Callithrix jacchus: one gene and its partner. Each later gene encodes a partner of the first gene's protein in a complex. Links are inferred from orthologs where the notes say so. Each region holds a gene or a part of one and is shown on either strand. Other genes may lie near its edges. The genes, in order: EIF3D and EIF3F.

Region 1 (3,148 bases):
AGATGGGGTTTCACGATGTCACCTCAGCGCTATCCTCCCACCTCAGCCTCCCGAGTAGCTGGGACTGTAAGTGCATACCACTGCATGCAGCTTGCTGAAGCACTTTAGAGAGTCCTTCTACCAATCTGCACTGCTGATGAAGCTGTGTACTGGACAAATGATTGGCAGAGATAAATCAAATATAGAAGTTGGGTGGCGGTAGAGAGGTCAGTTAGGAGACAAATGCCAAACAGGCATGATGAATGGGGCCCTGAACTAGGGTGATGGTCAGTGAAATCCAGGACTGAGTCAGAAGACAGCAAAGCATTCTACTTTGCTAACACCGAAACAGAAGAATGTAAAAAAGGAGCTGGAGATGTTGGAGGCTCAGAGCTTAGGTAGGAGAAAGACAACGTTGATGGACAGCGGACCCAGAGGCAATGATGAGACTGAGGACAAATGGAAGGGGAAGGTGTTTTAGCAGAACAACAATGGGAAGTCTAATAAATTAGAGGAGATTTGAGAAATTATTTTCAACGAGTTTATAGTTGAAGCTTGTGGTGGGCAGAATTCTAAAATGACCCCCAGTGACCCTTGCCCTTACAGAATCTCCTCCCCTTGACTGTGGGCAGAACCTATGGCTAGGATCAAATATTACCCTCATGATTATGCTACCTTTTATGTCAAAAGGGATTGTGCAGATGTAAGGCCCCAAATCAGTTAACCTTAATATACACTACCTGGCTGGGCCTCACCTAACTCTATGAGATTACAGGCATGTGCCACCAAAGTCTGGCTAATTTTGTATTTTTGGTAGAGATGGGGTTTCTCCATGTTGGTCAGGCTGGTCTTGAACACCCGACCTCAAGTGACTGACCCGCCTTGGACTCCCAACGTGTTGTGATTATATGCATGAGCTATCACGCCTGGCCTGTATGAGTCTCTTAAATTTAGGTGTAAAGGTCAGACACAGAGAAAGCCAGAGACCTGAAGCACGAGAATGGGCTTGGAAGTGGCTTTTCTTCCAGAACCTTTAGATGAGAACTCAGTTTTCCTGATACTGTGATTTCTGCCTTGTTTGGATTTGTGTCCCCACCCAAATCTCTTATCAAACTGTAATCCCCAATGTTGGAGGAGAAGCATGGCAGGAGGGGACTGGATCACGGGGGCGGATTTCCCCCTTTGGTGCTGGTCTCGTGGTAGAGTTCTCGAGAGGTCTGGTTGTTTAAAAGTGTATAGCAACTTCCGCCTCTCTCTTTCTCCTGCCCTGGCCATGGTAGATGTGCCTGCCTCTCCTTTGCTTTCTGTCACCATGGCAAGTTCCTGAGGCCTCCACAGCCATGCTTCCGGTACAGCCTGCAGAACTGTGAGCCAATTCAACCTCTTTATAAATTACCCACTCTCAGGCATTTCTTTATAGCAGTGTGAGAATGGACTAATACAAGAACCAAGCACACAGCCCTATAAATTCTAGCCTATAAAACGTGAGCTAACAAATCGGCACTGTTAGATCACTAAGTTTCTGTTAATTTGTCATAGAGCAAAAGAAAATCAATACAAAGCTGTGTAACAAAGAGGTACTTATGGCAAAGGGAGCTGTACAGCTGACTCCACTGGGATCAAGGAGGGGTGCCAGCAAAGACAGCACGCGAAGGGAACAGAGAAACGGCTGAGACACGAGCAGCACAGTAACACGGAGGGCACAGTAACACGGAGGGCAAAGCGACACGGAACGACGACCCCGAATGCTGTGGGGAGCTCACCGGGAAAAGTACAAGAAAAGGCCACAGGCCCCAGAGCCAGGTCTCAACAAACCTTCCAGTGTACTCTGTCAACAGGTGATGGGGGGTAAGAAACCCCTGGGGATGAGACTCAGCAGCAGTCCATGCTACTCCCTTGGCTCTAAGACAGGCTGAACGGAATGGCCCCCTGCACTACATCTCAGAAAGACTTATCCAACACAGGCTGGGCCTTGGAGCTGCCCTTCCCAGAGTGCCCTTTAGAGCACCCAAGAGCACTGCCACCTACTTCAATTCTGATGTGGCACGTAAGGCTGGGTGACTTGAGACAGGATAACGGCCCTCCTACCATGGAGCAAGAGCATGAGGAGGGGGGAATGGAAAGAGGAGGAAAATTGAAGGAAGCATGTTTCTTTCAAGGTGCCCCTGAAGAGTCAATTCTGAGCCAGATCTTAGAATCTGTGAGTTTAAGAAGTGGAGGAATTGGGAAAAAGGGTATCAAAAGATTGAAGGCTCAGTAAATGAATGAAGAGGTCAGAAAGAAGAGCGGCCAGACTTACAGGAAAACTGCCAACCCAGATAATAGGGAGAGAAAAAAACCCAGATGCTCAGAGAGCAGAAGCCAACAGGAGGCCACAATGGAACAGAGGTGAAGAAAGTACTGGAAGAAGGGAGTTAACCAGTTCCTCTGTAGAAATAAGCAGAAAAGTTCGTAACACCTAACATAGTTCCACACACGCAGTCATGCTCTTTCTCAGCAAGGAGCTAAGCAGAGGAAAAAACTCACAAGACAAAAAACATCTAGGCAGCTCTGTAAGTAATGAAAGGGAAAAGAAACAGTTGACACAAACTAGCCTGTGCTAACAGGCACTGCAGGGAATAGAGACGTGGTGTCACCAGGAGGGTGACGGAGGTCACCCTGGAACCAGGGCAGCTCACCCTGGAATCCCACTCATTGAGCGTCTTGATGTTGATGAAGGACACTTCCCCGTTGGCTCCAGTCATGACGCCATCATGCTCGCAACGGACAATGAGGTCAATATCGTCTCCAAGCTTCCACCTGCGGTAACTGCAGCGAAGGAGACTCATGTGGTCACTGGGGATCCTATACAGTAGGGCCCGTGCTCCAATCTGGTCACAATACCCACCAGAGAGGTCACCTACCGGTATGCAACAGAGGCGATTTCATTCTTGTCCATGTCGTCCTCCACAAATGGGTTTGGGTTGGGGAAGTTGTATCTTTCCTTCCCCTGCAAAAACAACAAAGGTGTCACAAGACAGAGCTAACTCTGTTGGCAAGGCCAATCATCAGACCCAGCACGTCTGCTTGGTTGCAGCCCTGGCCAGGTTCCTGGGGCCCTTGATGGGGCTCTGAGCTCACTGCATGTCTTATGCCTACCTGACCCCTCCCAACCGCTAGCACCTGATGA
Region 2 (4,549 bases), on another chromosome or scaffold:
GGTGCACACCACCACGCCTGGCTTTTTCTTTTTTGTATTTTAGTAGAGACAGGGTTTCACCATGTTGCCTAGGCTGGTCTCGAACTCCTGAGCTCAGGCAATCTGCCCGCCTCAGCCTCCCAAAGTCAGAGTGATTTCTAATTTCTATTCAGTGTTAGCTGAAATGCTCAGGATCCTCCCCAAAGAGCATCAAATGAGGTTACACTTCCATTTTGTCTTCTCAGAGACCCAGGTAATTCTCCTTCACAGCACTTTACACTTGTAATTATTCAATACTTCTTAGGGCTCTGCCCTCTGCTAGCTTCATTTCCTGCTCTACCTCCTGTCACCTACATTCCTGTAATACTGAATGTTTCAGATAGTGGGCTTATCAGGCCTTTTTAACTTCCTGTAGTTGCTTTAATGCCCAGCTCAAACACCATCTTTTTTGTGAACTTTTCCCTAACCTTCTGAAATAGTTAAGTCTTCCGTAGTTCCATGCCACCATGACACCCTTCTATTAGAACATTTATTATATTACATTCTAGTTATTTGCATTTAAGAGTATATTTCTATCTTGAGTTTAAGGTTACAGGAGAGCTTACCTTACTACACTTTGAATTCTAAATACCTAACAGTTTTATGGTACAAAAAAAGCACCAATGACTTCATTTAGACAAATAAAATGTTTTGTGAATTAATATCTAAGGAAACTCTTAGTTTATAGCAAGCAGAATCTATTCTTTATTCTTCTGGAAGCACTGCCCCTATAACACCTATAGCACTGTACCATGATTCCAGTCTGAAAGAAGATCTGAAGCTCTAGATTAGATTACAGCTGGTCTGATTGGATCACTGGAACATTTGGGGTGCTAAAGTATAAACTGTGGGTAGCGAACTGTCTCTTTAAATAGCTCTAGTGAGCTTGGAAAATGAGACAGTGTAACCAAAAGAGTAAGTATTTGCTGAGTGCCAGGTCAGTGAGGAAAAACAATTTATTACAGAAGCTCAAAGCAGGGCGCAGTTACAGAACACCATCATGCTGTGGAAGGTTAAGAATGGAGTGAGGGTCCAGGTATGGGATGGAGGACTGGCACTTAATGCTGTTCCTGGGAACCTGGGAGATAGGCAGAAGTTAAATAAATGAGGGACAGCAAGGAAGGCACCTGTGGCAAAGAGAACACAAAGGCTTGGTTTGAGAAAAGACAGGCAACGTTCAGAAGATATGAATTTAAGTTTCTGTAAAATGCTATACTGTCAAAAATAGATAAAGGAGAGAAAATGTGTTTTGGCATGTATTGGGTCGGTCCAGGCCTGATGTGGTGAATGGCAACTAATAGCTGTACCTAATGTGTACCAGCATAGTCAGAAGTTTTTAATTTAGTTCTCACGAAGACTAAGTCTAAAGTAGATCCTGACAGAACAGATTTTAGGTAATTTGCGTCAAGTCACATGGCTAAAATTGTGTGGAGTCTGCTTACACATCTTGTCTGCTTTGCAATATATCAATTGTCTTTTATGGTGTAAGAACCAGTACATGTTCAAGAGTATGAAAGAGAAAGGATGCTTGTAAGTAAAGTGGATTCACAAAGCTATTTAAAATCTGGAACTGGCCAGGTGCAGTGGCTCACACCTGTAATCCCAGCACCCTGGGAAGCCGAGGCAGGCAGATCACCTGAGGTTGGGAGTTTGAGACTAGCCTGACCAACACGCAGAAACCCTGTCTCTACTAAAAAATAAATAAAAAATCTGGAACTAACATGGAATGGAGATGGATTTCATGGGATCAGTATAGTCTCCAGAGAGGAATTATCAACAATCCCTCTTTCGTGCTTTTTCATTTTACAAACTACTTTAATACAGAGTATCTATTCCCCAAATTTGGAACACAAGCAGAGAATGGGTTATTCTTTGACCTGAAAATTAAGGGCAGAGATATAAACAGATAATACAATAGTTTGTGTCCAAATGGAAAATGGGAGAACAGGGTTTCTCACATTAGGTACTAATATTAAGGTATGCTGAGAATCAGAGAATCAGGCTCAAAAGTTTAGGACAGCAGAATACTATAAAATCCCAAATGGGTTCCAGCCAAACCGGTTTACTTGCTGGGAGGAATGCCTTTTTGCAAATGTCCCCACTCCTTTGCCAATTGGTTAGAAAACTCTGTCAATACTTGGAAAACAATGACATTTAGTCGGTGGATAAAGCAGAAATACGTGGTCACTGGATTTAGGGAGTCAAGGGTTCCTGACTTCCCACTCAGCATGTGCACTCATTTTTGGCAGATGGGGCTCATCATACTTGCCATAACCTGCTGTGGGGAACATTCAAAAATGTAAACCACTGGCATAAAATATTCAGCAAATGACACAATTACTCTTTGTTATTTTACGTCACTCAAAGTGACAGCAATCCGGCAGGAGAGAGAAGAGAGAAGAGAGAGGAGAGGAGCAAATCACTTGAGAAGTCACAGCAGAAGACAAAACAGAAAAATAGATTAAGAGGTCACTGGGGATGGGAGGAAAGAACGCCAAGAATGAAAGAATTAATGAGATAGGGAAGTGAGATAAATGAGAAGTGGGAGAAAGTAAAGAATGTTAACTTTCTATGACCACTCACCCAGCAGGGTCCCGATAACTCGGGCAGCACCCTCGTTGCGTCGCTCGTAGCTGTCCACAATGGAGGCCAAAATGACTGGGTGCAGCCTGACCACGCGGCCGCCGGGGAAGGGCCCTGGGAGAGCCGGACCGGGCAGAGCGGGCGCTGGGGTCTGCGCCGGAGCTTGCGCTGAGGCCGAAGTCTGGCCAGGAGCCGCAGTCGTAGCCGCTGCTGCCGCAGAGTCTGAGGATGAGGCTGGAGTCCCAGCGGAAGGCGGAGCCGCAGCTTGTGCTGGCGTTGGCGCTGGGGCTGGAACTGAGGTTGGGGCCGAGACTGGGGCCGCCACCGGGGCCGGAGCTGGCGTGGCAGGAGGAGCACTTGGTGATACCGCCGGCGTGGCCATCTTGTCGAGAAAGAATGCGACAGGAGCGGAAACGAGGGCATTCAGGAATATCAGGAGCTTGATAGGCTGACTATACACCACGTGAACTAGAGCTTTTTGTTTATTGGTTACTGGTGTTACAGCCGGAGCGCTAAATGGTCCCGCTGTTGGTAATTTCTTCCGGAATTTGTGCTGTTTGCTTTTGGCCCGAGGAGCACTCAGGGAGAGCTGGGCTAAGTAGTTCCGGGTAAACTTGGCACGGCGTTCAAAGAGAAACACTTTGTGCAGCCGCCGCCAGGTGGAACCAGACAGCAGCGCGGTGGTGGAAATTCGTGTTTTAGACTTAGATCATGGAAATCAAAGTGCCTTAAAAAAAAGCATTTTAAGGCCGGGCGCGGTGGCTCACCCCTGTAATCCCAGCACTTTGGGAGACCGAGGCAGAACGATTGTTTGAGCCCAGGAGCTTGAGGCTGCAATGAGCAAGAAGGAGAACTTAGCTGTATTTCTCCGGCTGCTTTGAGAATAGTCTGGGGAGTGGGGGGAGTTAGGAAGAGGAAGGTGAGAAAGGGAAAAGCAGGGAGACCGGCTGGGAGGCCACTAGGTAATCCAAGTGAGAGATGATGATGGCTGGGACCAGGCTGGTAGCAATAGAAGTTCTGAGAAGCAGGAAGATTATGGATCTGTTTTGAAGGTAATGACAATAGGGTTTCCTGAAAAATTGTATGTGAGGTGTCAAAGAGAGGAGTCAAGGAGGACTGCAATTTTTTTTTGTACTGAGCGATTAGTAGGATGACGTCACCATCAATTGAGAGCAAAAGCTGTAGGTGGAACAGGTTTTGGGGAAAAGATCCTGATTTCATTTCTGGATATGTCACCTTTGAGATATCCATTAGACATTCAAGTAGAGTTGTAAGCTGTATACACTAGTTTGTACTTTGGGAGATTATATGAGGTACTGCCTTGTCAAGCTTTTAGCACATACCTGATGTACAGTAGTTATTAGGTCATAGCGATTATCATCACTATGTGAAGGAGGGAGCTCTGACCCTAACCCACTGTGTAACTAGCGACAATCTACAAGTTTTTTTCCTAGCCTCAATTTCCTTCTTGGTATAATGGGGCTGATAACATCTGCCTGTAAAAACAAAACAAAAACCCATCAACTCCCTTAATTGGGTCAAGTCCTAGCATCCAGCTAGCAAGTAGATAGGTGAAGTTGAACTTCTTAGCCGTGATTCTATGCCCAAGAGTTGATTTCTCCTTGGAGAAATCTTCCATTATTAGAATTCACATGATCCTGCTCCCCTGAAAATGCTCTACATAGACATGCATTCTTTCTTTTAGTTCCCCAAAACACAGGTGAACAGCCAATCAGAAGGAGATTGAAAAGTAACTCTTGGATTTGATGACCTGGAGTCTGTAGCAATCCTAGTAGAGCAACGCCAGTGGGGGACTGAGGGTAGGGTGGGCACAGAAACTAGGAATCTGGTGTGAGAGAATGGCCAGTCTGAACTGAAAGCAGCAAGTGCCAGCCTTTCTTTCAGGAAGGTGTCTGAGAAAGAAAGGAGACATTTAAGGAAATAGGGA

Evidence for each region.
Region 2: EIF3D (region 1) and EIF3F share a complex: the UniProt entries of both Homo sapiens proteins name them as parts of the eukaryotic translation initiation factor 3 (eIF-3) complex. The link is inferred for Callithrix jacchus from reciprocal best matches to the Homo sapiens genes EIF3D and EIF3F.

Annotation. Positions count from the first base shown.
Region 1 is NC_133502.1:207,468,056-207,471,203, forward strand, and holds part of EIF3D (eukaryotic translation initiation factor 3 subunit D), read right to left. Parts: intron 2,969-3,148; coding exon 2,883-2,968; intron 2,788-2,882; coding exon 2,658-2,787; intron 1-2,657. UniProt on the Homo sapiens protein: mRNA cap-binding component of the eukaryotic translation initiation factor 3 (eIF-3) complex, a complex required for several steps in the initiation of protein synthesis of a specialized repertoire of mRNAs.
Region 2 is NC_133511.1:73,844,936-73,849,484, reverse strand, and holds the start of EIF3F (eukaryotic translation initiation factor 3 subunit F), read right to left. Parts: upstream 3,000-4,549; 5' UTR 2,984-2,999; coding exon 2,602-2,983; intron 1-2,601. UniProt on the Homo sapiens protein: Component of the eukaryotic translation initiation factor 3 (eIF-3) complex, which is required for several steps in the initiation of protein synthesis.